4 linked regions of the Schizosaccharomyces pombe genome follow. Changing the gene in region 2 together with the main gene of any one other region gives a genetic interaction. Each region holds a gene or a part of one and is shown on either strand. Other genes may lie near its edges.

Region 1 (7,367 bases), on a different chromosome or scaffold from region 2:
AAATAAAAGGCCTCTTCTCTTTTCGTTGAACTGGCGTCTTTTTAATCTTCGAATATTTTCTTATTTCTTTATTTAACTTTTGATATTGTAAGCTCATGATGTAAATTTTTTTTCAGATAGTTTTACTTTTAAAAAAATAATTCACGTTAAAAGTTATTGCTGGCAATTACTTACTACTTGTTTAAAAAAAATATTTCTGTGGTGAATTGTTTTTGCAAAGTTGTTAAGTCAGATGATCGTGTAGCTACGATTTTTGGTAAAGATATGTTTTACATGTATTTACATAGTTTTGTCTTTCATTTTGCAAGTATAGAGGACTGAATGGAAGTGGGTAGTATAGTCATTCATTGATTTATTGCTAACATAAATAGAAGTTATTTAGTTTGCCATTTCACATTAGAGAAATAAAGTAACTAGTAGACGATTTGCTATTTATCTAAAGGAAACTGAACGCAAATTTCAACCATTGTGTAGTGATACATTATTTTATTGATAAATTATCAAAATGTTCCAAAGAGTTGCATAATCATTAATCAAAAACTTCAAATACTTACAATATCAATATGTAAGCAAGGAAAAGGACCGAGGTCTTAAAGCATAGCAAATATTAGTCGTTTCTGAACTTTGATTTTCATTAATATGATGTACATACTATACCATTTACCTAATATAAAAAAAAATCTTCTTCCTTTGCACTAGTTAATAGATTTGTAAAAAGAGAGTGAACTAAAATGAAACATCAGCTGGGCTGCATTTGAAATTTTCCCCATTCTCTCGAATGCTTTCTCTATTAACATCTCGCGAAAGTGGTTTCCGCATATCAAATGAATCCTCATCCTTTCCATGTGGATTACTATAGTACCCAATAACTCGTCTATAAACCGAATACCCCAATCCTTTGTAAAAGTCAATTGCAAGTGCATTGCTGGCACGCACAAACAGGTCAACAAAAAAAGCGTTTTCAGAATTTCCTACAGTTTCTAAGTAGTCCATCATCGTTCTAGCAAGGCCTAAACGACGGGAATTTGGCGCTACTGTAATGGCGGTAACATGAGTATGCCACTCTTTACCGGTTCCTTCTGATTTCCCCATAATATAACCCATAAGGGTTGGATCAGATAGGTCAGACTCTTGTACAACACACAAGCTAGGCCATTTGTTCAAATAACTGAGATAAAATGAAATATTGAACTAAAAGTTGTTCGAGTTAATGAAAGTCCGCTTTAAGTACGGTAGATGGTAACTTACGGTCTCCGTTAGAGGATCTAAATTTATATTGTTAAATGAAAATAAATCAGTAGCTTTGAATTTTCGCGTATCAGTCATTTTTTCATGTAATGTAAATTCTAGCAGTATGGGTAAAACTAAAAGATTTGGCGAGGTAGAAGATGTCGTAAAAATACGATAAGCCAAATCCGTATATCTCCTTAAACAATAGATTGCTGGGCCAAGCGAGTAGAAAAACTCAAAAGAAATTGTAAAAGACACAATTATTATTTCATGTTTACAAATTGAACCTTCTTCCTAAACGAAACTCAAAGAAATTTAGTCACCTCCTACCATTGATGCCTCAAAACTGAAAAGATGGAGTATAGATGAAAGTAAATAAAAAGAATAATGAACGACAGAAACCACATAAAATGTCGAATGGTTAAAGAGAACATTAATAGAGAATCCCTTCATGCAGTTAAATAATAGGGAAGGAAGCCATTAATCCACTAATAAAAATAAGTGAAAAAAGATTGTTTTTCATGTGCATTGCGGATAATTGCTTGAAATCCGCAAATTATTATCAGTATACTAAAAACCCGCATTGCTTTTTGAATATTATCCTTTTGCTCCTTCATAAAAATGTCAGACGCAATGCGGATCATTCAATTCTTTAAGTATTTCATTTACGACTTGAATGTCATCAGCGACGATATTTTAATCGTAGAAAATAAAACGCCGTTTAATTCTTGGCTAAAAATATATTCGACAGCTTCAAATCCTCTCAAAATAATAACCAAATATTTACCTCTAAACCTCGTTTAAAAAAGATCAATAGGGATAGCTACTTGGGCTAAAACAGTTGCGAAGAAATTTGAACGTCCAAAAATATTGTGCTCTTTCCCTAGGTGAAATGCATTCTTTCCAAAAAAAAAATTAATGATTTCAATAGGAAACTGAAATGAATAAATAAAATCGTAATTTGGTTAAACTTTTTGATGTTAATTTACAGCCTATGCGGTTAAAAACCAAGCATGTTGAAGCGCATCCTGGCCGGTCGTCCTTAATTCAGGTTGTAGACGAAGCATCCGTCGTAACAAATCCAAACCAAGAGGATCAAATGTTGGAAATAGGTAGGCGAGATCTTGTGCTTTATAAATAGGGAAAGTAGGCTTATATTCAGGAAGTAAAGAAATTCCGGGCCATGATTGTTCAGTAGGAGTTCCCAATAATCGGAAGATTTTTAGTAGCTGATCCTCATTATTTGACCCAGCAAATAGAGGACGTCCTGTAGCCATTTCTGCCATGATACAACCAACTGACCAAATATCAATGGAAGTTGAATATACTCGAGAACCCAAAAGAACGTCAGGAGCACGATACCATAAGGTGACCACTTCGTTTGAAAAAGTATTCACTGGAATTCCAATTGAACGGGCTAACCCAAAATCCGCCAATTTCAATTCACCACGACTGTTGATAAGCAAATTTTGAGGTTTCAGATCACGATGTAGAACTCGGTTTTCGTGACAAAAAGATATCCCTTTGAGTAATTGTTGAGTAAAATTTTTTACTTGAGAAGGTGGAAGAGCTCCTTGGTTCCCATAAGTGTCCATGTACTTTTTCAAATCTTTTTCCATATATTCAAAAACGAGCATAAGCTTATTTTCGGTTTGCAAAACGTCTGAGAGAGACATAATATTGGGATGCCTAAGCTCCTTCATAAGACTAATCTCACGGATAGCAGTACTAGGTGTTCCTTCATCTGCATCAATACGAATAACTTTGAGAGCGACAATTTCACCAGTCACTCGATTTTGCCCCTTATAAACATGCGCATATGTTCCCTCTCCTACTTAAGTTAATGAAATTGCAAATTTTGGGACCTCAAACTCATACTTACCTAACTTTTCAAGCCTTTGGTAGTTCATGTTGTGCGATGGAAATATCAAGTGCCTCCTCTACGATGACTAACGACTTAAGGTGATGTTAAGCTAACAAAACTGTTTTTAAGACCTACAGTTTTGAAGAATATGCTAAGAAAAAAAATTTTTAGTCTATTGAGTCATGTCGAACATCTTGCTATAATGTAAACTATTGTAATTAAGATCACTACAGCTTCTATCACAAATTAACCTAATGATAATTAATCAGAAGGTTGCCATCTGTAGAAAACACATAAGTATTAATAAACCCTTACATAAAGGAGAGTTTAAGCAATTGCATGTTTTTGGATATAAATTTCCATCTTTGCTTAAAATCTATCATAAGCAGTATGAGAAAATGCCGTAATTTTGCATAATTTTAAAAATGAATTAATGATTTAATAAAAGAATTGAAGCTAAACTATATCACTGCAATTCAAAAACAATTGGTTTACTTTATCTTGTTGATGAAACACATTTTAGAACATTATCACCAACAAAAAATGATACAAGATAGCTTAAGTTTATATATTTCAATGATTCATTTCTTCATTAAAACATCATATTTCTGCAGTGTGGGTTTGGCCAGTGATATCAATCAACTAAACATGATTCTAAACGAAGCAATAAAACAATTTAATAAAGCATTAGCTTCTTACACATTGTTTACAAGACTAACCTTTATACGCTAGTCTAAAATAAAAAACAGACAACAAATGCAAAGAGGATTTGAGGAACAAGTTCTCTCCTAATCTACTAACATGTGTTAAAACTGGTCATCAAGCATTCCACGGAAGTGACTGAAAGCATTTTGAAAGTCATTATCTAAAGCGTTTATGCAAAGAATCTCACGAACAACAAAAGAGAACTGCAACCTTTCCCTTGAAAGACCTTAAAGAAACAAGTAATGAATCCGAAGCATGTAGCAATTAAGCATTCTAAAGGCCACCTGCTTAAATTGAACTGCCTATTGAGGGAAAACCTTCAAAGAGGATCTCTCAAGATTGGCTGATGCTTCATCATCCACAAACCAGCTTGTACGAGTCAAATTGTTTCGAGTGATCAGCGCACTTGGAAGTTTAGATGTAAAATCCTCAATGACAATAGGCAAAATATCCTTCTTACCAGCACCTGTGGTAACAAAGGCAATGGCTTGAGCATGTGTGACAACCGGTAAAGTCAAAGTGATGCGGTCTTTAGGGGGTTTGGGCGAATCAGTGACTGGGGCCACCCAAGCAACGTCTTCCTGGAGTACCTCGTGATCGGGGAATAGAGAACATGTATGGCCATCAGGACCGCATCCTAACAGCAGTAAATCAAACACAGGGACCTTAACAGTGGAGCTATTTGCAAACACATGCACTAATTGTTTTTCATATTCATCAGCAACATTCTGAGGGTCAATAGGATTTTCTTTCAAAAGCTCAGGATTGATGGTATGAATTTTTTTAGGGTCAAATCCTTCAAACTTGTCAAAAATCAACTTTTTACAGAGCGCATAATTTGAGTTTTCATCATCTAAAGGAACAATTCTTTCATCAGCAAAGAAAACTTCCCTAAATAGAGCTGTTAATCATAAATTGCCTTAAGACAGAGTGTTTCACGTCAACCAAAGCTAAACAAAACCACAGTGAATCCATACAACTCAAAAGTATATAATATCTGTTAACTTACCATTTGGAAAACTCGATACCTCTCTGTTGAGCCAATCCTTCAGCCAAAACCTTTGGTAAACTTCCTCCACTAAGAGCTAAAGTGAACACGCCATGCCTTTTAATAGAAGCTTCACTTTTCTCTTTAACGAATGCACCAAGTGCCTTTGCAACTAAACTAACGTCTGAAAATGAGTAAACCGACATTTTTTCTACTTGGTTCTGGTTTGCTTTCAGTATTTGCGCAATTGTTAGTAATGGAGTAGTATTAACGAAACAAGGTGGAGTGTCGTAATTCATTCGGTAGTCGGAAATTTAGAACAGAACAAATCTTAAATCAGTTTTCGAGTATAGTAATGTACGATTACGGCATTATCACGGCAAGGTAGCGGAGGTATAGAATATAACCATGAAGCAAGCAATACGTCTGCATCGCTGGGATTAGATAAAGAAGCTCGACCTTCTCTGCATTTTTGTTTAAATAAATGAACCAAATGATATTGAGAAAGGAATTAAATGAAGAATATACAGATGGGCGCTGGTAGCTTTTCAATATCTTTCAATCGAGTTCAAACGTTTAACCATTTCCTAATCATTAAGATTGTTTATAGATGTAGCTAACAAAGGCCGCAAATTAGTCATGATTGAAACATGAAAAATCAGGTAACCCAATTTAAGAGAACATGTGTTCTATTTTATCCAAATAGCTACAGTAGTTGTTTGATAAAGCTGTTTGAAAATGCGCATTGTGGATAAAAAGACACAAGAGCATGAAAACGAAGAAGAAAACTCAAATAAAATTCATTAAATCACATTTTACTGACAAGATGATTGTTTCCTTTCATTTCATGAGGAAGTTTCTGAACAAGAAAGGAAACACTTAAGCTTCCGTTTTCCAGTTCTCACACTTTTTAATTATATAGAAAACAAATCTGATAAAAATTCAAATTGATCGTCCTTACGTACAACGTCCTCAACGTCCCTGTATCGTATTCCTTTACGTTTTTGTAATTTGGCAAGTTGATAAGCCTCTGTTGCTAACTTTTCAACAAATAATTCCTAAATCATAAAATAGGTAAGCTTTTATTTTTCTTTTTCTTTTATGCAATCAAAATGGTGCTAAGTCGCCCAGATAGCTGATTTATCAACAACACACATACAGTAGCTACTGAAATTAACAAAGCAGATGCATTAGAACAGTAGTGTACGTCTTCATCTTGCTTTATTATCCTCTTTACTCTGCTCAATGGCAATACAGTTTTCCCATATGTTTTCTCCATGAATCAATCCTATCGACCGAAACAATTTAAAGGACTGGAAAAAAGCAATTATACCCTTAAACTATAAGGTTCTAATATAAAATAACCCAAAATCTCTAGTGCTATAAAAAATTATAGCCTTCTGATTTCTGACTTTTAGTGTGTTGTTGTCAAAATACGAAGTACTCTCGCGTCGCGACCTAATAATAAACATACTTACTTTACCACTAGAACCTTACATTGTTGTTTAACTTGAAACATAAATATTTTTAACTTTTTTTCTATTTTTAAAGAGTATTTCATTTAGTTCTCATAATTTCTAAGACTTTGTGGATTAATAATTTTTTATAATCAGTATAGCATGCGTATACATCAAAATATACTCGATATCGAGTTAATACACTTGGTAAACAAAAGCCGATATAACAAGGCAGCGTTAAAAATGAAAAATAGTAATCACTAAGAATATTTGTAGAATCCTTTTCTTTTTAATATCTTATGCCGTTTTCATATCATAAAATAGGACATGAGTAACTAACACATCCCGGATACGTTTCATAACTATAAATTTGAATATTTTGTGTAAGAAATGAACTTAAATTGCAAAAAATCAACTGAAAATTGCTAAGATGTCGTCCAATAGTAGATTCATTTTAAAAAAAGAAACAAAAAATAAAAGACTCAGCTAACCCCAAACGACCGATAAGAATCCACTTCTGATTGCCTAATCGCCGCAGTGATTGCAAACGCAAACGACACTTCATCTACTGGTAAGCCAACAAAGTGACATGTATCAATATAAAAGCAGGATTTCATTTTTGAAACAAAATCCAATCTAATGTATAAAAAAGGAAAAGTTCAAGGTATCATCAACTCATGCACTCATAAAATCACGTATCGAGACTACTGGATTCCTTCATCCAACTCTATCATCGTGAACTATCGTAATCAAGTTTAATCATCCTTTTAGTTATATAACATAAAAAATCGGCATCTTAGTGTATAAGATTAAACCGAGTTTTCGAGCTCCTTGGCTATGCAAAACTTGTAAATCTCCAGAAACAAATATTAGACGTAAGTAACAGCTTCGTCGAAATTAAAGAGAAAAGTAAGAATGGGAAAAAATGCAGTTTTAGAATCGTAACATATTTTTTATCAACAATGCCTAATAATAAGAGCAATAATATGAATGAGAATATAAAGCCATTCCAGGCATCCGAAAATGAACATGTGTCACCAAAAAACACATACATGAAATAAACATTGCAAACAATCGAAGTTCAACATCAAAACTCGACATTTGAAACGTTGATAAGAGGTGG
Region 2 (7,390 bases):
CGTCCCTTCCACCTGTACTCCCTAACTGACTACTTTCTTTCTCGCTAACTACTTCTTGCCTGCTATCTGATATTCCTTCCTCAGTTAAAGGGGGACGGCATCTTCTTTCCAATTTCCATATCCCACATCCCACAACCTTGTTTCGAATATACTGTGAACACATATCCTTCACCATCGAACACTGGAATTTCCATATTGTGTATGGAAAACAACTTTATTTGTCTAGCTGTACATCATACTTGCATAAGCTTCAGACTGCTTTGTTGTGGCCTCCCCAAAACTTTTTCTTCGTAAATCTAGTAATACCGGATTACGTTTTAGTCCCTTAATTGGCGTTTACTGCTGAAACCGCATTTCCGATTCGCTTGCCACTATTGCCTTCCCTATTTTATTCGCTACCATCCACCTTAAGCTAGCTTTGTGATTTGTTAGGGAAAAACAGTCACATTTTCGACAAACAGAATTTCTTCTCATATCAGATGAGATAAAGATGGCCGAAAACACTCAAGACTGACTTGCACTATATATAGCAGGCACTGCTCTCAAACACTACTGACTCATACAACTCACCAACATTTAATATTGGACGTTTTGAACATAAATTTAAAGTTGTTTTGAAAAATAATTTCATTGAATAAAGCAATTCGTTTTGTGTGCTATAAGACTACATAACTCTGACACGATTTTTTTCAACCACGTCTTGATTGTTTATTGTCGATACATAGTTGAATCGATTTTTCCTTTCATCGAGTGTACATAGTTATTGTCATCTTATTAACCCGGTTTACAAATTTCCTTGCGTTACCCTTACACACTTTTTAACGTCATTTACGTATAAGGAGATTTAAAGGCAAAGCTGTTATTTTTTTTTATATAGATCAGATAAAATCTGAAACTTTGAAAACTCCCTGCCATCCCCCAAAAACACTGAAAACGTACTCAAGCCTTTTACTTGATACGTTTTGAAAACAAATCTAGTTGGATTTGTGATACAGATATTTTGTTAGATCTTGACGTGATTTGTCATCTGATTTTTTTCTTTTTTCTTTTGTTTTCCCTAAAATGAGTGTCTTCCGTCGCTCCGTTCAATGCGTTGGCGTTTTGCCTTCAATTTTGGCTCAACGCTCTTCTCTTCTTGCCCGTCCAGCGAATTTACAGTTTCTCAAAACGAACTCGTCAAAATTCGTCCCTCAAGTCACCGCAAACGTCTCTCGTCGTATGTACCATAAGAATGTTTTAGACCATTACAACAATCCTCGGAATGTGGGTACTTTGCCCAAAGGTGATCCCGATGTGGGTATCGGCTTGGTAGGTGCTCCCGCCTGTGGCGATGTTATGCGCCTTGCTATTCGTGTCAATAAGGATGGTGTTATTGAGGACGTAAAGTTCAAGACCTTTGGTTGTGGTAGTGCAATTGCCTCGTCATCCTACGTTACCACTATGGTCAAGGGCATGACCCTTGAGGAGGCTTCTAAAATTAAAAACACCCAAATTGCCAAAGAGCTTTGCTTGCCTCCTGTAAAACTTCATTGCTCCATGCTTGCCGAGGATGCCATTAAAAGCGCTGTAAAGCATTATCGCTCTAAACAATTAACGCCTGTTGGTACAACTGCTGGCGCTATTGAGTCTGCTACCGCTTAGAAACTTGATTGTAAAGTCATAGCTTTCATCTGTTTAAAAATCTGCTAATTTCCGCTCCGCTTTTTGACCCCGCCTCCTAATTTTCTACCCGGTCCTTTTAATTCCTAAACTGCGTACATGTAAACAGTGTTTTCCACATAAGATTGCTTGTCGACTTTGGCGTAAACATATGGTCTATGTGTTTGCTTGCATTCTTCCTCCCATTTAGCAATATATATTGATTAATGTTTCTGCACTATATGTATCTGGACTAAATTGATGCAAGTGCTTTCTTTCAAAATGCTGCTGATGCTTATTTGCTTGTTATTGTGGTTATAAAAATCATTACTCTGTACATTTTCCCCTTCCTTTTTTTTTAGTTCCTGCTATAGCATTTTATTCGAATCTTTATACGTCTAATGAAAAATAATTTAGAGTCTTTTATTTCTAAACTATAAGCTGTTTCTGTGTTTGCTTAAACTTTAGTAGTATACATGAATATCATCTTCTAGCTATTAAACCATGTAATATAAATGTTCATATATATTCATTGTTTCGTTGCCCATCACGCAAATAGTCAGAAAGGACTGTCTTGCCTATATTAAACTCATTACCAAAACCGTTTGCCACACCCAAATTTAAGGGTACCATAACTTGATTGTACGATCGTATCCTGATGAGATAAATCTGTCTCCGTAACCGTCAACACTCATAACCTTTTCTTCGTGTCCCACCATACTTTTAATCAATGAGCAGTTCAACGGGTTCCAAAGCTTTACGCAGCCATCATAACCACTCGTAGCGATGAATCTGTTAACACCTGATTCAATATAACGAACGTCTGAAACAAGAGAAGAATGTGCGGGAATAGTATGTGCCAATGACACTTTCCGCAAGTCCCATATTTTCACAGTATCATCGGCTGAAGAAGTTGCAAGTTGGTAGCCGTTTGGACTCCAAGCCATCGCGACAATTTGACGAATATGTTCATCTAATACCATTATTGATTTGCCTGATCGAAGATCCCAAATCCGACCGATAGCATCATTACCACCTGAGCTAACTAACGACCCATCTGGCTGACAGGCGATTGAAAAAATCCCTTCCGAATGACCTTCTTGCATAAGCAACTCAACGCCTGTATGTACATCCCATAACCGCCATGTAGTGTCGAATGAGGCAGAAACTAAGTAATCACCACTTGGATGAAAAGCAACTCGACCAACACGAGCCAAATGTCCTTCCAAACGTAACAGTGGAGTAGATTGACTTGCTTTCCACAAACAAACAGTATTGTCTGCGGCTCCAGTCGCTAAAGTCAGCTGCTCAGAATCTGCATCCCATGCCTGACATAGAGGATACCAATCCAAACCAGAAACTCGGTCGGTATGGCCGCGAAACAATTGAACCTCTGAGAGGTTATCAGAATTCCACACCTTGACCTGGCCACCCCAGCTTCCGCTAGCAAAATGATTTCCATTATTACTGAATCTAACAATGGCTATTGGTCGCTCACCACCTATCTGAGAGCCCATCAATTCAGCCTTTTGTAAATGTTCGATTGAAGACTTTCCGGAAAGTACAATTTCAGGTACTGGAATCTCGGAAATTTCCCGTTCTTTTTTTAATCTGAGCTTTGCCTTTTCCAAGGAGTAAAGAGCTATTTTTTTACGAGCAACTAATAGTTCGTGACTTCCTTGAACATACGTCTCCTTCTCAATATTTTCAGAAGCCCCTTGGTCTACATCTAATGGATTGTCTCCTTCTAGGGACTTTTCGATCATTAATTGCTGAAGCCTTTGGCGTCGGGCTAAGGCATCTTCACCAAAATAAGTTATGGGTTCACCATAACGACGCAGATATTCACGAACTTTGGAATCTTCATAAGGAATTTTAAGAGCCTTAATGCGATCCTTTTCCTTTTGCTCCGCGTAATAAGCTGCTTGTTCTTTTGTAAACCGCGTTATCCCTTCTGAAAACGGTCTTGTTTCTAAAGTTTTTTATTAGTTTAAAATTTAAAAGGAGGAGTTAATGCTTCTAGTAGCAACGTACCTAATTCACCAAGTGAAATGCCCTCGTTTTCATTCATGTTAACAATCTCGTGTAACACTTACCTCTAATGTAAACTACTATTTTTTACGCACTATCGTATTTAGCTTTTTGTAAATTGTTCGAGCTTTGCGCACTTCGGTATACTGTGATATAACGCATATGTTCAGTTCAAGTATGTTTCCACATTTGATTCTACCTGCAATCGGCTCATCTAAAGTTAGGACTATGGTGCTACCATTTGCTTTTGTGGGGTTTTTTATTTTTCCAATATGTTTAGCTTCTTTGTTAGACTGGAATGATGTATGCTCTTGAACCTAATTTCTCTTCAATTCTAACGGACTTCCTTTGTAGGCATATGAATATCCTAAATATTCGTTTGAATGGAGTAATGTGTCAATATTAGAGGGCGACATTGACTCAATTAAAGAAAAAACTGAAAAAACTAAATTATCGTCATTATTCTATGCTGGAAAGCATGAATATTTTTGTGTATATCCCAATGCGTCTCTTATAAAACAAAATAGCACAACCGAACCAAGCTATGATTTACAAGAATTGCGGATACAAGGGACTGAAAAAATCAATGAGCTTGCTAATGTATTTTTAATCGAGGTACGAGTTCTAATTGTTTTATTTGTCTTAAACAAACCAACTTTACTAAAAGGTCATTATTTGACATGTCCATAAAAATTTTAGAATTAATGACTACTTTTAGTACATGTAGTGTTTTTCAAGCTAATCATTGTATTAGAATCGTGGTTATTGGACTTATGACTATGTCTACGGTCAACACGTGCGTCAATATCATTTGGAGCCGCAGCAAGGTTCTGACAAAGTCCTTGCTAACCCTATGTATATACTTGGTACGGCACCTAACACTCAAACTAAAAAGAATTTGGAAGAAAATTGGGCTATTGGATTTGTTGAAGGTAAAGCATATTTGCAAACAACTTTCCGAAATGGGACTATGTGCGACATTACTAAGAGACCAAGACACGTAATTCTAAGTTATGAATGCAGTACAAATTCGGATACTCCTGAAATTACTCAATATCAAGAAGTTTCAAGCTGTGCATATTCAATGACTATTCACGTTCCCGGTTTATGCTCATTACCTGCTTTCAAAATTCAAGAGGACATACCCTCTGAAAAAATTGTGTGCTATAATGTAATTAAAGAAAAATCAAACGAAGTCGACCATAAGGATTCCCAGCACGTTGTTGATGAAGTTGCTCAAACATCTCCGCCTGAGGTGAAGGAGGTAGAGACGCAATCAAGTTAGTTCTACCTAACTTACTACATGTATTAAGTCTACGGTTTAAGTGAAACTCTAATAACATAAAGTGATGATATTTGATGACACAAATACTCTTGGATTCTATCCCTGTTCCTCTGTTTAGGAAAAAAATGTTAAACCGAAGATAAAGCACTTGAAAAACAGTCGGCGTGTCAATGAACGCAACTGCGCAATTAATGGAGTCATCTGTATTATTGTCTAACGACTTGAATTTTATTGTCTTTTTGAAACTTTTGGAATTCTGCTTCGAGCTGCTTATACTGGTCGAGCAAACCATTCATGGCTGTTTGAATCTAATATTTTGATTAGTACATCAAGACCAAAAATTCATCTGACAATAAAGGGTCAAAATAAAAAAATTCCTTACCCCTTCTTGAGTAGTTTTAAGGATAGGCACAACAGTTCCCACCGTTCTCTCCACTAGCACTCCATGGATCATTCGAAAACAACGTCGATTATTATCCATGGAGTTTAATGTGTCCATAACAAGTCTTTTTAGTTAGGTATTTAATTTAAAAATTTTTTATGTATCACATACTTATGTTCGTCAGCATCGGTTTCCAAATCGACAATCTTCTGCGCAATTTGTTGTAACCGAGACTTATATGAATTGTACTGCGTCTGTAGAACTGGAACTGGTCAACTATTTTGTATTTTAAACTCATCCACAGTACATACTCTGCTGCCGAGAAGGTTGTTCAGCCATTCTGCTTTTTTGTATACTCAAAAAATGTTGGTGGATTATACATGTTATATCTAAAACGTATACGAATTTTAGTGCGTAGCAATCATTGTTGCTGTAATGATAGATAACAAGCGCTATGGATTACGGTAAATCTGTAATTAATTAGACTCTGAGTATAATTTTAAAACAGTAATTAAATGTTTGTGTATTTTAAAATTAATGTAATAGTTAAACTATATTAGTCTAATTTTTAAATGCCTATCATTTGCACTATACGTATATCAACTTGATTAGCTCAACCTGTGAGATAGAAGGGTATATTTTTTTAACGATTTCAGCGTTTTACTTATTTTATTGCAGTTACGACAGTATTTAATAATAATTAAAAGAAAGGCGGAATCTTTCAATGTGCTAAATATGCTTCAGTTATCCCACCTTATCTTGTAAGAATTGTAAATCAAGATCTAGTCACATAATGAAAATAATATCTGTTTTATTAAGGCTGCAGGCAGAGCGCACCAAGTATTTAAACTAATGTATTCGTAATCTATAAGTCAATTTCTAACTCAATATCTTAACTCACACCAAAAACCCATCAAAGCTTAATATAAATCTTTTATCTTTTTTCTATTAACCTGATAGCATCATTCAAGCTTCTTTGAAAGTAAATTTTAGTTTTTAAGTCATGGAACAAAATTCTCTAGAGCACAATTCATCACTCTGTGACAATTCATATGATAAATTTGTCAAACAAGGAAAAACGTATGAAAGTAAACAGCACGATTTAGAGGCTATACGTCCAGTTTTAAATAACGATACATGTCTCCTAGAAGATAAAGACTACCGCATACAATTACGCTGGAATTCTTCTCTTTTGCCAGTCTTAAAATTTCGCTTATTGTTAGATTATCTGCAGTATAGCATTCCACAGAAGATTCCGAAGATATACTGTTTTTTATAACTTCAGGTTCCATTGATTTAATCCAGGGCATCCCACTTACTGAAGAAAAATTTGTCGCTATAACGGTATCTCCTTTACGAAGAAGGATTTTCATAATCCCAGTAACGTCTTTTGTGTTAGTGAAAGCTACTACCCATGATACTGATTTATTGTGCTCACGTCTTTGCGAATTTACAAATTTCGCAAGCTCAATCGCAGCTTCTTTATTGTGTGCTCCGTCAAATAAAATATCACCCAAAGAAGGAACCGAACGAATGTCAAGCCTTCCAGGCCAAGATGTATTTTTTACACCATTTTGTACATGGGGAAGCATAATTGAAAATGACGAAGAAAGGATATCGAGAGCAGTTACTGCACAAGCCAAATTTTGTCCTTGATAATCCCCCTTCAATGGAGTACTAAAAGTATTGGTTCCCCAATTTGGAGTATTGATGATCCACTCATTTTTGTTTTCACCTGATTTTCCTTTTGCCAAATAAAACGGATGTGCCCTCGTTTCCTCTGCACTTAATTTTAATTGATTTAGGACGTTAACTTCATTTAACCCATCAACCACGCACGGAACATTCTTTTTAAAGATCCCAGCCTTTTCTTTAGCAATAGCCTCTAAGGTATTTCCTAAAAATGCTTGATGGTCCAAGCAAATACGTGAAATTATTGAAAGAACTGGTTCTTCAAATACATTAGTAGCATCCAAACGACCACCCATTCCTGTTTCAATTACAGCCACACGAACACCTGAATGATGAAAACATTGGAACGCAGTAGCAGTTAA
Region 3 (9,318 bases), 840 kb from region 2:
TCTTCCTCATCTATTGGCTCAGTTGAACCAAAACCAAATAAATAATGAAATAACCAATTACGAGGTTGATGTTTCTGAGAAGATTTAAAAATATCATTTTTGTGTTGAACAATGACTTTTTTACCAAGACCAGATTGGGATTGGAAATGGGCATCAGCATGCACGGGAATAGACATTGAGGTTTCGGAGGAAGAGGCATCCGTCATTTCCAAGTCTTTATTGCTGTTTCTTAACGTTTTCGGAACATGCTCCTTCGCTTCTGCGGGGCTGTATATACATCCAACCATAAAAGAGTCATTTATCAACATTCCGTTAGACAAAACTGCTTTGGCAGCAGAAGAAGGCTCAGCATATGTTAATTGTAGCCAGTTACCAGATATGGGACCCTTGGAGGGAGTGAATCCGGCACTTGAAGCAGTTAATGAATTCTCGCTAATAATAGTTCCAAAACGAGAAAATTCAGCTATTACTTGATTTGTCAATTCTGGTGGGAAACCGAAAACGATAACGGAGGTATTTGAATCTTGAGGAGCGCCAGACATGGTAAAAGAAGGGTCGTATACCTTTTCAGAGACAGGAGAAAAAGGGGAAGAACTTTGTCCAACATTGAGAGCATTAATTTGCCTAGAGGAAGAAAAGTCATAAATGGATTGAGTAGGAGGAGCATCTTCAATTAAAGATCCGGTACCTAAACGATTTGTATGCAAAAACGGTTTCGGTGTACCAAAGCTGGGTCCGCCGAATTTTGAAGAAGGGGGACTCGAGAGAGATAAACGGAAGGAAGAGCTATTTAGAGAAAATTAGTAAAGGTTCTAAGAGTTTATGTCTAATATTTAAAAATTCATAGGGATTAGGCTGAAGCTCTAACAAATTTGGATATAGATAGATATTAGGTAAAAAAGCAATTATACTAAACAATTTTTTAATCCTCCGTCTTCAAATGTCCCTTAAACTCTTCAAAGAAATTACTTACGATGACTCATATGGTTCTGCTAAAGGCGAGCTAACCTCTGGGGCAAATCGACGCTGCTGACTTGATCCAAAGTGTGAAAGATGACTGGGAACAAATTTTTTTTCTTGTGGAATGTTAGAAACAGATGTTCGAAATCCACGATATTCTTTTTGAGGAGAGGGCGAACGTAAATCATCGACAGAAAGTGGCTTTAAGGTTGATCGATTCGTGATAGAACCACTTCCCCCAAAAGACATGTTTCCGGCAATATTACTAGAGTCTTGTGATAGACTGTTGTGTAACATATGTTTTGCAACGTATATAAATTAGCGGTAAGTTCATTTGAAGGAGATGGCTTGCATGGAATGAATCATGAAGCCTAGCGTAGATCACTAAAACCAATTAACGCAAAATAACAGTTTATTGTTAATGCTATTGATTTTTATAAAACATGCAGATAAATCTTTTGAAAGCCTCAAACTAATATTAATACGTTTAGCTATTCATTTTTTTAAAACTTGATTTAAAGGACTCTGTTAAATTCCAAGCTCATTTACAACAAACCTTATACAATCATGTCATAAAAGGCATTATAGATGATAAAAATTCTCCACAACTTTTTCTCATTGCTTATTGAATAGCGTATCTTTTTCTTACAGAAATTAAAATGCGACTGGATATATATTATAATCGTAGCAATAAGCACCTGAAGTAACAGTGTTACTCCTAACCATGGCAACATTGTTTACACTTGATGATTTAACGAGACACTGCAGAAGAACCAAACATAAACATCTTGGCTTGAAATTCATATACTTAGCACTCAATCACTCCAAGCAGTATTTTTTATATTATTAATTGATAGAAGAATTTTTCTTTTTCTTTAAAGGTCCTACCGAGAAATTTAGTTTTATTTTAAGCTTACCTGAATCTCATGGGCTACTTCTGTTCTGAAGTATGGAAAAATACAAGATTCTTGAGTGTATTGGACATGGGAGTTTTGGAAGGATTTATAAAGTAAGTTTTAATCTTATTTTCACTGAAATTGGTTATTGGATAGCAAAATTCTTTCTTGTTTTCAGTTTATTTGCGAGCAACTACTTGTGGTTGGCAAATGAATCTATAGCATTGAATCAATTGTTTTCTTAAGAAACAGGGAAACTATATTGATTTAAATGCTTTTCGCTATTGTTTGTACTCTATTCAAAACAGTTTTTCAAATTGAAACTTTGATCGATATTTTTTTTTGCAACTCCTTTTTTATGCATTATGCTAACTATTATAGGTTCAACGCTTAAAGGATGGTGCTGTAAGTTTGAAAGCAATTTATTTTTATAGTTATTAATACTTTTTAGCTTTTGGCTCAGAAGGAAATACACTTTGGTAACATTACTCGGCAGGAAAAGCAGTACATCGCAGATGAAGTGAATATTCTTCGTAATCTTAAGCATCCAAATATTGTTCAATACTGCGGAGAAGAATTGAATCGTTCTGCGCAGGTAATAAACCTTTATATGGAATATTGTGGTCATGGTGATTTAGCCAATCTTATTCAACGTTATAAAGAAGAGAAAAAGAGATTTACCGAGCAAGAGGTTCTCAAATTTTTTACGCAATTACTACTTGCTCTGTATCGCTGCCATTATGGAGAAAATGCGCCTGCTTGTGACTCACAGTGGCCAAGAGAAATTTTTCATCCTAAACAATCTGTATTGCATCGAGATATCAAACCTGCGAATATATTTCTTGATGAAAATAATTCAGTTAAGTTAGGAGACTTTGGTTTATCCAAATTGCTGGACAATACGCGTGTCTTCACACAGAGTTACGTGGGAACTCCATACTATATGTCTCCTGAAATAATTCGGAGCAGCCCTTACAGTGCGAAGTCTGATGTTTGGGCTCTTGGCTGTGTTATTTTTGAGATCTGCATGCTTACGCATCCCTTTGAAGGAAGGTCGTATTTGGAATTGCAACGTAATATTTGCCAGGGTAATCTCTCCTGTTGGGATCATCATTACAGCGACGATGTTTTCCTTCTAATCAGGCATTGCTTAGAAGTTAATTCAGACCTCAGACCTACTACTTACCAGCTACTTCGCTCTCCTATTTTATCCGATATTCGTAGTAAATTGGAATCCGAGAGAGTAGTCTTGGAACAAAGCGATTTGCTTCATAAAAAACATCAGATGCTTATTCAATTGGAAAATGATCTCCAATTTCGCGAGCAAAGGCTTTCTGCTCGGGAAAGTGAACTCGAAAACGTTATAGCTTCTCGCTTAGCCCAACGTGAAGAGATATTGCGACGTGAGTTGGAAAAGCAACTGCGTGACATGGATGCTCGTTATCAAAGACACATGCAAACCGTAGTAAACTCTATGCAGAAAATGCGTGTTACAAGTCCTGTGGATCATAATGAACAACCTGAAAGCAGTACCGCTGAGATGTTTGTAGATTGTACAATTGAAGCATCACAATCCCCCCTACTTCATATTCCTAAGTTAGGAATTAGCAAGCCCTTGCAAACGTTATCGTGTCCGGGTTTCACTCTAACTACACAACAACCGATATTGAAAAGACCTACTCTCCGTAAAGAATTATCAAGCAGAGCCTTACATACGACTGCAACATTAATGAAATACAGAGCTAATGCGTCATCTCTAAGGACTACACCTATTGATAAAGATGGCCAAATTACATCGTTACAGCAAAAAAACGGCACGTCGAATCAAGTGGCGGATTGCATGAACAAGTTGCTGCACACATCTTTGGACGGAAAGAAGCTAAGCCCTTCTGAATTGTGTAATAAATTTTCAGACGGTGAAGGTTTACCAAATCGAAAAGTTAGCAAACTTAGCGTAGAGAGCGATGAAACGGCAGTGAGTGCTTCAAGTGGTGAATCCGTCCCGACTGATTCAACGTTGACTGATACGAAGTCAAAGTCTGTTTTTGTCCACCCACCTTCTCCGCAGAGTCTTTATGTGGAGAAACTCGAAAAGTTGAATATTCGTTCGGACGAAGTGTCGAAACCTTCGAAAGCTTCAAAAACCTTACATGGCTATGCTTTACCATCACTAGCGTCACCTTATGATGTTCATGCTGAAGAGAAGATAGCAAGAGAAAATGAAATGGATGGCAATTTTAAGACGATGAAGATCAATCAACACCCCGACGAGTATGTGTTACGGACTCCGAAAAAGATACAACTGTTGGAAGGACAAAAGCGGTCGCCTGTAAAACAGCTGGGAAGACTTGGTTACAACAAGCTTCGACGATCAGCGATGGACAATGCAGGATTGGAACTACGAAAGGCGGCATCTACTTCGAACTATACTAGCTTACAGTCTCGAACACTACCCGGGTCTTGGAGAGATGATGAAGAAGAAATTCCAAGACCCTTTCTACGAAAAATGCTTGACGCCCGAATGATGAGGGCTTAAGTAAAGTTCCCTAAGGTGCATTTAATTGTACGAGAATTATATTAGCACAAATGCGTACTAAAAAAAAAATACAGCAAAAAATAAAGGCCCAAATGTAAATGAAATTATTGAAATGCGTACCGTGTTGAACTTCCCCTAATTATAAGGATTGGTTTTCTATTTATTCAAAGAAATGAAACACTGCTGGTCAGCGTTTATCACGAAGTTTATTACTAATAAAGGAATACAAACACGATATTTGCATCTACAAGTTCTCGAATATGAGATGCTAGTAAATTGAGCCTTTTAACAGTACACATTTAGATGATTAGGAAATTTTGAATAACAATATTTTTCCCCAAATTCGAATGAGCCGTATTGTAAATGGAATTTAATTTTATAATTTTTGAAATAATATTACACAGAAACAAAAATTCATGGATGTAGTAATTAGAGAGAACCAAAGAATTAGCTAAAACTACGAAACGCCAGCCTTGACAAGAGAGACTGTTTTTTTTTTGGTGTAAGGATAAGTTGCGTAGATAATAAATGGAGATATACGTAAATTCGTATATGAGTAGATATCTGGTATCTGGAGAGATGACTTATCAAAAAGAAGCCGATTATGGAAGCGGCATCAAAAATAGTCTAGAAAGAAAACAAAGTGGAAGTAATAGAAGTAAAAAAAATTTTTACAATTTCGGGTGGCAGAAAAAAGGATATTAATGGTATACGAAGTGACACAAATAGGATTCCAAATGAGGGATGAATCAATTAACCACTTGACGGATTGATAATAGCAATGATGAAAATAGCAGAATATAGTACAAACTAGTAATTGACAAACACATATAAATACTTAGTTGTAATGTAGAAGTATGAAAGTTAGTCATTCATTGTTATTTCATTTTATTTACATACTTTGACTTAAAAGAAGTGCCGACACATGTTACTACAATCTTAACCCATTCTTATCGCATAAAATGTTTGTTTTGTTTAAATTTCTTTGTTTTTGTTTTTTATTTTTAGAGCTATCGAAAGTATCAAATTTTCTTTATGCTGCCAACTAAGGCCATTGGATATTAAAGTTCTTTCTTTTCTTTGAGAGATAAGTCAAATCACCAACTTGCAACCCCCATCTTTTTGTATTATCAACTCTCTCCCTATATCTCTTTACTCAGCACAATATTACTTTACACAAACCCTTCTCCATTCATCCTTAACTCTCTCTGATCCTTTAGAGTGGGATGAGAAGAAGCTTCGCTAGCTAAAACATATCCTATTATGTAATGGACTCATTATGATGTCTCGGTGAAGCAATATTTCCTTTTTCCACTGTATGTCAATACTTTACGTGGTATGTGATGATTATGCACCGCTATATGATATTTGTGCACTCACTTTTGTCATCCCAAGAACGCGTAATTTCCCTTATCGTAATGCATGCCATTTAACCTAATTTACCCAACATCTTCTTCAGCCTGTGTACTCTGTTACCACCTCTGCTTCGGCTGCATGCATAACCCCCACCAAGTACCTAGAACCCTCCACTACAACCGGGAAGTCTAATGGGTAGTGGTAAAGAGAGGTAGGTGATTAGGTTAAAAGGAGGTCTTTTAAGATAACAACGTGGTAATAACGCTGCTGACTCTATTTCGTAGTAGTTGTGACTTACTAAGTTTTAAGGCCAAAAACTGTCAAAACAGCAGTTGTCTTGTGGTCCGACAAAGCGGAGCAAGAAAGACGGGAAGGGAGGAATTAAGTGCCTTGGACTCCTCGGTTCAAATCAAATAAAGTAGGCACTTTTAAAAAACGGGACCGTTCCATGTAGTGGTGGAAGAAGAGAGAGAACCTTGAAAAAAAGAAAAGATAAATAACATATAATATTTGTGTACAAAATGAAAAAGATGGATTAATTTCAAAGTTAAAGTGTAAGAGAAAAAAATAAAGAAAATTTGTTATTTATCTCAACCAAAAAAAAAAAAAAAAAAAGAAAAAGAAAAAAAAAGTATTAAAGGATTCCGTCAGGTTTGCACTTGTTGGAAAGCTAAAAAATGTTTACAGATCACCGGATTTGGGCTAATTGCGTGGAATCCGTGAGTGCTGCCAAAGAGTAGCAGATGGGATGAGATGAGATGTGATGCGAATGTGAATGTGAATGTGAAAAATTGTAAGCCAAATGCTGTTTCTCACGATAAAAACTAAAGAAAAGCATACATTGAAAATTAGAAAAGATAAAACAAGAAAAACAGATTTGGTGCTTATGCGCTGGTCGGTAAAACAGTTTTCCTTGGACTGATAACAAGAGGGATGGATAAATAAACACGCTCGCTGATAACTTGTAAAAAATAATCAAAATAAGAGTAAATAAAAATGATAAAATAAAAAACAACGATAACAAGGGACGAGTGGGTGAAAGGAAATTTTATGTTTGCGTTTTCGTTGAACCAGCGCAGTACAGAAATACAGAAAGAATTGGGAAGTACAATAACAGCTGGGATGTGGGATGTGGGATTTAATGGTAGGCAGGATAGGGTAAGCAATGCTGGGACAAAGAGAAAGAGGTGAGGGGGGTGAAAAAGTTTTGTGAAAGAAAGGATTGTTTATGCTACGGTTGGAGAAGAGAGGCGAGGGGAAGTGAGGATGGCTTGGATGTAGTAAGGATAATAGGAAATTAGAAATAAAAAAAAAAAAAAATTTGGATATGATACATAAATGGTAAAAAATAAATAATAAATTAATAATCATAAATTAAAGAAAGAAAAAAAAAAGTAAAGAAAGCAACGGTGAAAGTAGTTGAGGAAACTCAAAGAAAACAAAATAAACCATAAGAAGAGGAAAAGTGTTCAATCGTAATAAGAAAAAAAGAAATCAAAATATATTTAATGAAATTATAATAGCAATAAAATAAAGATTATACTAAATTCATGAATGATAATAAATAATAAACAGAAAAATTTAAAGGGCAAAAAAGTAAATTATAAAAATTAAATTAATTATAAGGTAAAATAATTTAAAAATTTTAAAGTACAATAATAAAAATTCGAAATATTTGTTTATTCAATAAACTAATGGAGAGATTTTCCATATTCAAAGTTTTGTTTCATTACTAATTTATAAAATGATACTTTTACTTTTGATTTATTTTATAAATTTTATTTTTTGCTTTTGATTTAATGTATTAATTTTATTTTACTTTTATTTTTTCACTCTTCAAATTCTTAACCATTCGCGTCTTTTCATCGCATCGCCCATCATATTTCCTGCCCAACAACTGTATTCATCAATAATATCGCTACTTTCATCCTACATCTTTGCCTTCGCAAGTTGCGCAAGCTTGCTCGCCATTTCGAGTGCTGATGGAATCAGCGATATCGATGGAGTTAGCGATGCCATCACAGAAATTGCAATTTTACACATCACAAAGTAAAACAATTAGCAATTCTTTCAAAATATCCATCCACTCCGCTTAAAGAAATCATTTCATCTTCATACCACCCCATTATCCCACCTTCTCTGATGGATAGTGGAATCCGCCTTGAATGTCTCTCTCTCTTACTATTACTTGCTTGGCATCTGAGCTGAGCCAATCCAATGTCGCTTAAAGCAGCCCAAAACTTGGGTAACATAGCGAAGAAACGCAAAGAAAAAAAAATTTCTTATGAGGAATCAGAATCTATCGGAGCCATGAATCATGGACACCACTTTCATATTTTTGGAACAAAGCAAGAAAACCTCTAGAATAGATTGGAAGCAAATTGATCCAACTACCACATGTCCTTCATATCCCCCCCCAAACATCATTCATCTATCCCTATGAGCCTCCTTCCTCAAATCCTTTTCCGCATTGCCTTCCCCTTCGCTATACCTAGACATTACAGAATTTATCCATCCCAATCTTCCGCCCCCTCCCAATTTTCAACTGCTAAACCTTGCTCTGATCCAATTTTTCCATTGTTGAGGCCTTTCTGGATGCAGCTTTCCAAACCTTTCAACGTCCCGGCTTGACTTAACTTCCACGTCTTATCATTCACAAAATCGGCAGTCCAAGACGCCAACTTTACCGACGCGTTTTACCCCATTGAAATTATGGATGTTTGCTTTACGCAGTGGTGTGAAATCACGGTGGACTAACGTTTGATGTGCAAAGGATCTCGTTGTTGCAGATAGTGTTACCTGCCACTCTCGGTAACAAATGTGGTTGACAAGCCGCGACTGATGTTTATCTCATATAATCATAGATCTGCCACAATCACCTTTTTTTTCCATTCTTTGCATATATAACATCAGTCATCTCTCCTAAGAAGAGCCGGTCGTCCCTCTGCTAAGCAACCATACAAAACATAACGTTCATCCTTTCTTTTTTGTTACATTCGTCTTCCTTTCTTCAGCCTAGATAGAATTGGTTTGGTGTTTGTGCTATTCTCAATTTTCCTCGTTTTGGATTGTGTTTTTCTTGTTTTGTTTGGGAATCATCATTCATCCATTAACATCTTCTTTACTTTTTTTTTTCATCGTTCATCGAATCCTACTTCCTCTTGACACATAATTAGTCTGCTGGTTTCTTTCTTCCTTCCTTTAAACATTTTGTGAAGAATCTCGTAACCTACCATTCGGTGCTGCTGTATTATAAATCTAATCTATTTGATTCGCTACGGATCTTTCTCACCTTAGACCTTTACTACCTGAAGGGTTCTTTTCTTCTTCTTTAATTCTTTGTCACGATATATTATAACTTTTCATTTTCTTTTTATTTTATTTTATTCTATTTGCTTGTCTGGGTTTAGGTGCTTTGTGTTCTCTTTCTTCTATTCTTTTTTTCATTGTTCCAACTACTCTGCTGACTGCAATATCACGCCTCTTTGAATTCTCGGGAAAAGGCTTATCTACTTTTCCTTTGTTTCATTCGTCTGCTGTCGCCCTGTAGCTTTAACGTTTTCTAACTCC
Region 4 (7,908 bases), 1.4 Mb from region 2:
TGGATGTTGGAGTTTTTACTGAAGCGACGCTGAACCCAGTTGCATCGTTTATCCATTTGTTGACCGTGTAATTCAATATACGCTCACTTGAGATTTGGCGAAATGATGTGTCATCAGAAAGCATACTTTAATAAAGTTATCCAAAACAGCAAAATCGAGCAAAATGAGCAATACAATGTCCCGTTTCCCAACGAGAGTGCTGTTGACTTTAATAAAAAATCCTTAACAAGAGAATACAAATACGATGTTTAAGGATTCTCTATTAAAGAAATTTAGAATTACCTCTATAACAGCGTAACAACTAAGTAGTAGTAAGAAAATGGTCAAGAAATTTCATACTTTAGTATGCATAAACTGTATAGACGAGGTAACGTCGTTACTGTTCAGTTTGGTTTGCAAACACCTCCTTAATAGAATAAACGTTCGCTATTAATGAATAGGTTTGAGATATGTTCAAAGATAGTTTTGTGTTATTAATGCAAACATACTAGTTGTAAAAAACGGATTTATCATATGGTAATTAAAAAGTGATTTGTACCTCAAAATGAACGAGCAATGTACTCCTAGTCCAACTATAGGTTTTTACACTTGTTAACAAACAACCAGTAGATGCATTTATAAATTACCTTTCCTAGGTTTTAATTAAGGAAATTAAAAAGTCTGCATCTTTTGGATGATAATAGCAAACCTATATATTTTGCAACCACTATGGTTGCACAATACTTAATTTGCTTCTACCGTACACTATCTATCTACTTTAAATGCTTTGAGTTTTAAGAGTTATGTCTTTGGTAGCCTACGACTCAGAGGAAGAGGAACAAACTTCGTTAGTAAATGAAAACAATGATATTAAAGGACGTTCTGAGGAACCCCATTGGAAAATCCCAAATTCTCCTAAAGCTGAAGTTGACACAGAGCTGGAGAAAAAGATAAAGCAATTTATAAAATTAAAGGCAAAGGGCATTCATTTTCATACGAGACTATCAGAAAATGAAAATTTCAGAAACCCAAAGTTACTTGATAATTTGCAGGATTTTCTGGATATTAAGGAGCCAAGAGGAACTATGATATCTAAGGATATGTGGGATCCAACGGACTTTCATAAAAACGTCTATGCATCCGCACTCTCTAAATCACAGGATGAAATGATTGCCAGGCGTGAAAATTACCAAAAGCATGATAGAACTGAAATTAAATTTCAAACCTCTCAACATCCTAAATAAATTTGAGTATCAAAAGATAATGTGTTTGTAAAAATAATTTCGTTACCGAATATATATAAGACTACTTAATTTAATACCTTAGCCTGTTATGAATAAATGATCCAGAAATGCCAATTTTGATAAGACATTTATATGGCTAGTAGCTTAAGTCATTAGTTTACCCTAGTCAATTTTCAAAAATAATAATTGTTATTATAATAATTTTAACTACCGATAGAACAAAAAAGCCTTTCATGAAGAGAATCAGAACCGTAAATAATAAATAGCATCACTTTTAACTATTCGAAATTACTGATTGAAGAAGTTGTCGGAGCCAATTCCTGCAAAGAAACCAAAACTAAATGCAAAAACCTCCGAAGACTCCAGTAGCCAACTTTCTGAATTCGTTTTCTTCGTATCTCTTGATTTAATACATCTCGAGCAAACGATTCATACACCTACATCAAAAATTAGTATTTATTAATATTCAAAAGCGTAAATTACTCTTAAATTTTAGGAAAAGACGCTCTTTTATAGTAAGGAACAGGGTAGAACTTACCTGCGCCGAAATTTCTTGTAAAACACCACTGTCGTAAAAAGTCCAGCTTCCATCAAAGTCAGAAAGCGGTTTTGATACATGACAAAGAATAGGGATGAATGTCCGTGTGGAATTAATGTAAGCAATAATAGGTCGAATTAAAGCATTGTTGATATAGCTTACTTGATTTGTAAAAATAGGAATTACGGCTTTGGGATTATGTAATTGCACATTAACATCAAAGTGAACGTCTTTGTAAACATCCTCATCTTTTTCTTTCTTTTTCAATTTGTCCATCAAACTTATCCACGCTTTTTGGAAAGAATTTTCCGAAGGTTCTGATGGAAAAGAAATATTAACTAAAAAATCAACACTGCCATCATTAATCCATCCAAATGCTCCCGAAACACCTCGATTTAGATGATCGATTGCGACATTATCAATACGCAAGCGACTATGTCGCATATCATCGAGTTGTTTACCGACTTTTAGGTACGGTGAATATGGACGAAGTTGTAATCGATGAATAGTAAACATACTATTATCAAAGCTTCCGGTGAGAGTCTTAGCATTCATTAAATCATAAAATAACCATTGTTTTCTAAGCCTAGGAAGCTCACAAAAGAAAACACTAACGGGGAACTTCCGAAAACCTTTAGGTTGTAATAAAGTAACACGCAAATCCTCTAGCTTAAATTTTTCGATTTCAAAATCCCCCCAGTTGTGTTTACGACGGTAATCACGAGGATCGGAGGATGGATCCCATTCAATAAACCGTCTATCAACTACACCTCTAACACCTTTCAGCTGAAGTTCCTTAACAATCCCTTTACCATTTAAAAACCTAGCAAAGCTAAACGAAACATCTGCCTTATCAATGGATAACTCAAATTGAGTATAGTTTCCCTGACTCAGAGCCTCAGTGTCAGGTTCCTCATTAGAATCATAACGTTTTCGTAAAGCCATGTACTCTTTTTCATAATCAGACTTATTATTCGGATTTTGTGCTCCAATGCCATTCAAAGTATCAGGTCTTCTAATTACGGAAATTTTGTTGAATGTGATTAATCCTTTCCTCCAATTGGGAACAATTGCGCTTTCAAAGACGAATTGGAACCCTGTATTTTTTGTCATTAACTGACCAATCCATCTTCCTAATAGTTCCTGTGCAGAAACAGTGTTTAAGGTGTACAATAACAATGAAAAAAAAGTTGTTGTACCAACTACGATCCAAACTATATGGCTCACAAGCCACCAACTGAAAAAGGCAGTAACATTATCCACTGTTAAGGGTTTGTTTTGCTTAAAAAGAAAGCTTTTCATTTTTTTTAATACGCGAAATGGCATTGCCCTTTTAACGCCGGAAGATTGATTTGATTCATTTTTGTTGAGAATCTCAGGGTTTTCAACATCTCCAGACGAGTAACTTCTAACCATAGATATTTGCTTAATAATTACAGGTGTAGTACGGGACAATATCCCACTGTTTGAAATATTCCTAGCTGCTAGTCTAGGAAGAGTAGGAAAACTCTTGAAGCTGCTAGATTGCAAAACGGTTTGCTTGAGTAAGGCATTTTGAGTAGAAGCACGAACATGATAAGAAATTAAATAGGGCTTACGGGCCTGAACAATCCTTGCTATATTCTTCGCAAGTCGTGATTCGAGCATCAACTTATGAGGTCAAATAAATAATACCTTCTCGAAAAGCACAATTAGTGTATATAATTACAGTCAAGACAAATTATTCTATATATGCTTCTGTTTTAAAGAAATAAACTGCCTGTAATGATATATTATAAAAGTTTCAATGCCTTTCCTGTATATGGTTGTCTGCAGAAAGAAAATAGGAGAATAACTAGCAAAGTTTACACTAAAATCTTTAGCTAAGATGGCAAAATATATAGAAAATAACGATGATCCATTCCAAATTATTATATATGCTTCTGAGTATACACTTTATAAATCAGATGTTTTGTACGAATGAGATGACATCGAATTATTACATACTTTGCTTAATTATAACAATTAGCTAACTAGCTGACTATAAAGCAACAACTGTATACACATTTTATACTAACTGCCTGCATTAACTACTAAAATTTAATTATGCTGGTTGAGTTATTAAGACTATTGCGCTTAGTTTGAATAGAATTCCAATTCATGTCCAAGGCATTAAGAAGCCGCCAAAAAGCATACTGTTATAGTAGTATTTAGCTTCTGAATATAACTTCACCGAGTTCTTTTCAAGATAAAATTAATTTTATCTTTACTTACATATTCCAATTCTTTATTTTCGTTAATTTCATCTGGCAATTTTAATGTTGTTGATGCAACGGCTAAATAGACAAAGAAAAGTTGAGATTTCATTTTCGTTATCTATGATATATGCGTTATGCCTGTTAAAAATATTTACAGAATCACAATCCATTTTTAACTGAATTAATGGACGCAAATTATGTATTAAATGTCTAGGTCTTATGCACACCAAGGTAGCATGCGTGCAACATGAATGTTACAATATGTTTCTCGCAAAAAGCTATTTGATTACTTCTTTTTGTTTTTTCTTCGATAGTTGAACTCTATTTATGTCACCTGGCCTTTGCTTCCTAAAAGAAATTTCAGTCATACAAGCTACACCAAAGCCTACTACAAGAAGTTTTGCCAATTGTTGTAAAATGGGAATTCTACAGGTATATAACGATTAGTTGATTTTTTATGAATATATTTGGGGTTTAAAACTTTGTATTAACGTTTTTATAGCATTTGATGCACATTTTAGACATTCCAGGCTTCCCTTGGAAAATAGTAATTGCTGGATTTTCTATTGGAAAGTATGCCTGGGATTTGTATCTTCGTCGCAGGCAAGTGCCATATTTGTTGAGAGAAAAGCCTCCTGCTATTTTAGCTGAACACGTTGATGAAAAAAAGTACCAAAAAGCATTGTCTTATGCTCGTGATAAAAGTTGGTTTTCTACTATTGTTTCCACATTTACTTTAGCCGTTGATCTTTTGATTATTAAATATGATGGACTTTCATACCTTTGGAATATCACTAAGTTTCCTTGGATGGATAAATTAGCTGCTTCATCCTCAAGGTTTAGTCTATCGACTTCGATTACGCATTCCTGTGTTTTCATGTTTGGACTTACTCTGTTTTCTCGTTTAATTCAAATTCCTTTCAATCTTTACTCAACCTTTGTGATCGAGGAAAAGTATGGTTTTAATAAATCGACTTTAAAGATCTTCGTAATTGATCTTTTAAAGGAATTAAGCCTTGGTGGTTTACTTATGAGTGTTGTCGTTGGTGTTTTCGTTAAAATTTTGACCAAGTTTGGTGATAATTTTATTATGTATGCATGGGGTGCCTATATTGTTTTTGGCCTCATTTTACAAACTATTGCTCCTTCTCTAATTATGCCCTTGTTTTACAAGTTTACACCGCTTGAAAATGGAAGTCTTAGAACACAAATTGAAGAGTTAGCTGCCAGTATCAATTTTCCCTTGAAGAAGCTTTATGTGATTGATGCTAGTCGTAGATCAACTCACTCCAACGCTTTCTTTTATGGGCTTCCATGGAACAAAGGAATTGTACTTTTTGATACTCTTGTGAAAAATCATACGGAACCGGAACTTATTGCAATTCTTGGTCACGAACTTGGTCATTGGTACATGTCTCATAATTTAATTAATACTATTATAGACTACGGAATGAGTCTGTTCCACCTCTTCTTATTTGCTGCTTTTATTCGAAATAATAGCTTATACACTTCCTTCAATTTCATTACCGAAAAACCTGTAATTGTTGGACTTCTCCTTTTTTCGGACGCATTAGGTCCTTTATCCTCCATCCTTACGTTTGCCTCCAACAAAGTTTCTCGCCTTTGTGAGTATCAAGCGGATGCTTTTGCTAAACAATTAGGGTACGCAAAGGATTTGGGTGATGGTTTAATACGCATTCATGATGACAATCTTTCTCCTTTGGAGTTTGATTCTTTATATACCTCGTATTACCATAGTCATCCCATCTTGGTTGATCGTTTGAATGCAATTGATTACACGACGCTAAAAAAGAACAATTAGGTTTCATGAGTGAATGAAATTATGTCAAATGCACGAATTTGCCTTAAAATTGTTAAAATATATTATGCTTACATATCTGTATAGAAAAATGATATTACTAGTAACAATGAGTAGCAACGATTCAATATGAACGTATACTAAACTAAATTTGAGAAATTGCAACATTCCTTAACGAAAATAAAGTCAGGGGGAAAAAAATCAATAAAAAAAAAGAAACATCAAAACAAAAAAAGACGATATGCAATAACTCGTAACAGCACATACAAAATTGGTTCATAAAATTTGAGTATGGTGGACAGCACCAGCAAATGCGAAATATCAAAAGCGAAGGGAACGTATGAGCATATTAATCAATTAACTAATTTAAGACTTGCCTAAAAATCCACTATTCATAGAAAGATATATCAGGAGGACAAATCAAAATTATGCTTGCTTACAATTAAACTTGCAAACATTAAACATTGGAAGTCGAATAGCAAAGCGTCTTCATCATTAAACGTAGGTGGAGAAAATTTCAAGCAGATAAACAACAGTGCTATAATTTCAATATAGCAAAAAGTAAAAATTGATAACCGGTTGTCTAGTGATTTTTCCACAAAGGTTTAAAAAAAAAGAACGGTTTTTAAGGAGCATCTTTGAATCCCTTATCCTTTTCTTTGTACTCCGTGACGCTTTGAGATAACTTCTCTTGCTTTGTAAAAAACGACAAAAGCATTCCTACTCCTGCAACTGGACAATTTACAATCCAAATCATACGAATGGCATTAGCATAGGCATTGAATACAAAGTTCTTTTCGCTTACGTTGGGAATTGAAGCAATTTGAGAGTATGATAGCCCTGCAGAATACTTCGTTCCTTTTAAAAGTGTCGTTAGTTGCTGATCATAGATTACCGCTCCCATCGATATTCCCACAGATGCACCCATATTTCTTAGCAGCATAAATGCAGAACAGGAAGTCGCTATCAAAGCAGGAGGTACAGAAGCTTGAACAGCAATGAGATTTGGTTGAAATAGATTTCCAGTTCCGACTGCTGTCAAAGCCAAGAATCCCATGGTACGTGATATGTCCGTGTTATAATATATCGCAATCATACTACCGGTACCAGCTAATAAAACTATCCATCCTCCAATCATTGGATATCGATAATTTTTCAACTTTCCTATTCCCATACCACTAACAGCAGAAAGAAGTGAGGATACAACCGCTAGAGATAATGTGTGAACGCCAGACATCAAGGGCCCGTCACCTTTAATGTTTTGGAAGTATACTGGGATGTAGTAAGTAATTGTTGAGACAATATAATAATGTAAAAAGGATGTTACCATTACAGATGTTAAAGAGAGCGTTTTAAATGCCGAGGGAGTAATAATTCTAGTACGGGTAGTATAGAATTCATTGACAACAAAACCGGCAATGCACAGGATACCAAAAATTAAATAGCACAAGACATTGGCATGGGCCCAATGACCTGTTGTAGATCCAATATTCAAACCAACTAAAAACAACACAACACCAGTCGTAATGGTAATAATGCCCACAAAGTCAAAATCACGTAAAAACACGCGAAACGAAACTGTAGGCTTGGGTACAAGATTGAGGAAAAAAATCAAAAGTGCGAGCGAAAGACCACCAGTAGGTAGATTAATGAAGAAAATCCACCGCCAACTAGCCTTTTGCGAAATTGCACCACCGATTAAAGGACCCATGACAGAAGCAAGGCCCCAGGTGACTCCCATACAACCTGTGTAGTAAGGTCTAGTCTGTAAAGGAGTAATGTCAGCTATAACGATTGTAACTAGAGATGTAATGCCTCCACCGCCGATGCCCTGCACAGCACGGCATAGTACAAGCCAAAGCATATTTTGGGCAGCACCACACATGGCACTACCGAAGAGGAAAAGAACAATGGAAGTATAGAGGACAATTTTCCTACCGACTACTTCACTCATGATACCACAAAATGGAAGAATTGAAGTTTGAGCCAAAGTATAAGCAGTACCAATCCACGAATACGATGAACCGCCATCGAGATTTGCTACAATAGTGGGAATAGCTGTAGTAATGACAGTTTGGTCCAAGGCGGACA

Evidence for each region.
Region 1: mutations in pfd2 (region 2) and pef1 together harm fitness less than expected from each alone (positive genetic interaction), as found in Schizosaccharomyces pombe (2 studies listed by BioGRID).
Region 3: mutations in pfd2 (region 2) and fin1 impair growth when combined (synthetic growth defect), as found in Schizosaccharomyces pombe (2 studies listed by BioGRID, with this or other methods).
Region 4: mutations in pfd2 (region 2) and ste24 impair growth when combined (synthetic growth defect), as found in Schizosaccharomyces pombe (2 studies listed by BioGRID, with this or other methods).

Annotation. Positions count from the first base shown.
Region 1 is NC_003421.2:683,527-690,893, reverse strand, and holds pef1 (cyclin-dependent protein kinase Pho85/PhoA-like Pef1), read right to left. Parts: upstream 3,160-7,367; 5' UTR 3,141-3,159; coding exon 3,113-3,140; exon of another isoform or gene 3,062-3,112; coding exon 2,223-3,061; downstream 1-2,222. Other genes in the region: NatB N-acetyltransferase complex catalytic subunit Naa20, read right to left, coding at 727-1,191, 1,249-1,326; pgl1 (6-phosphogluconolactonase), read right to left, coding at 4,102-4,690, 4,809-4,993; DNA polymerase epsilon Dpb3, read right to left, coding at 5,702-5,845, 5,947-6,066; sts5 (Dis3L2-like 3'-5'-exoribonuclease), read right to left, coding at 7,332-7,367.
Region 2 is NC_003424.3:512,116-519,505, reverse strand, and holds pfd2 (prefoldin subunit 2), read right to left. Parts: upstream 5,705-7,390; 5' UTR 5,676-5,704; coding exon 5,648-5,675; intron 5,599-5,647; coding exon 5,508-5,598; exon of another isoform or gene 5,461-5,507; coding exon 5,337-5,460; exon of another isoform or gene 5,263-5,336; coding exon 5,161-5,262; 3' UTR 4,955-5,160; downstream 1-4,954. Other genes in the region: Fe-sulfur cluster assembly protein Isu1, read left to right, coding at 1,063-1,641; rna4 (Prp4 family U4/U5/U6 small nuclear ribonucleoprotein complex subunit), read right to left, coding at 2,259-3,610, 3,673-3,709; putative misfolded glycoprotein sensor Yos9, read left to right, coding at 3,898-3,972, 4,024-4,284, 4,424-4,954; fol3 (folylpolyglutamate synthase), read right to left, coding at 6,446-7,390.
Region 3 is NC_003424.3:1,352,451-1,361,768, forward strand, and holds fin1 (NIMA-like serine/threonine protein kinase Fin1), read left to right. Parts: upstream 1-1,770; 5' UTR 1,771-1,909; coding exon 1,910-1,969; intron 1,970-2,237; coding exon 2,238-2,261; intron 2,262-2,307; coding exon 2,308-4,392; 3' UTR 4,393-4,734; downstream 4,735-9,318. Other genes in the region: nucleoporin Nup40, read right to left, coding at 1-786, 974-1,209. UniProt on the Schizosaccharomyces pombe protein: Promotes chromosome condensation and nuclear envelope dynamics during mitosis. Activity appears at metaphase-anaphase transition.
Region 4 is NC_003424.3:1,934,575-1,942,482, forward strand, and holds ste24 (putative CAAX prenyl protease), read left to right. Parts: upstream 1-4,375; 5' UTR 4,376-4,415; coding exon 4,416-4,430; intron 4,431-4,500; coding exon 4,501-5,820; 3' UTR 5,821-5,963; downstream 5,964-7,908. Other genes in the region: sdd3 (metallopeptidase), read right to left, coding at 1-124; mug151 (transcriptional regulator HCNGP-like protein), read left to right, coding at 783-1,223; protein Mdm31, read right to left, coding at 1,502-1,660, 1,762-3,408; SPOM_SPAC3H1.06C (transporter), read right to left, coding at 6,443-7,908.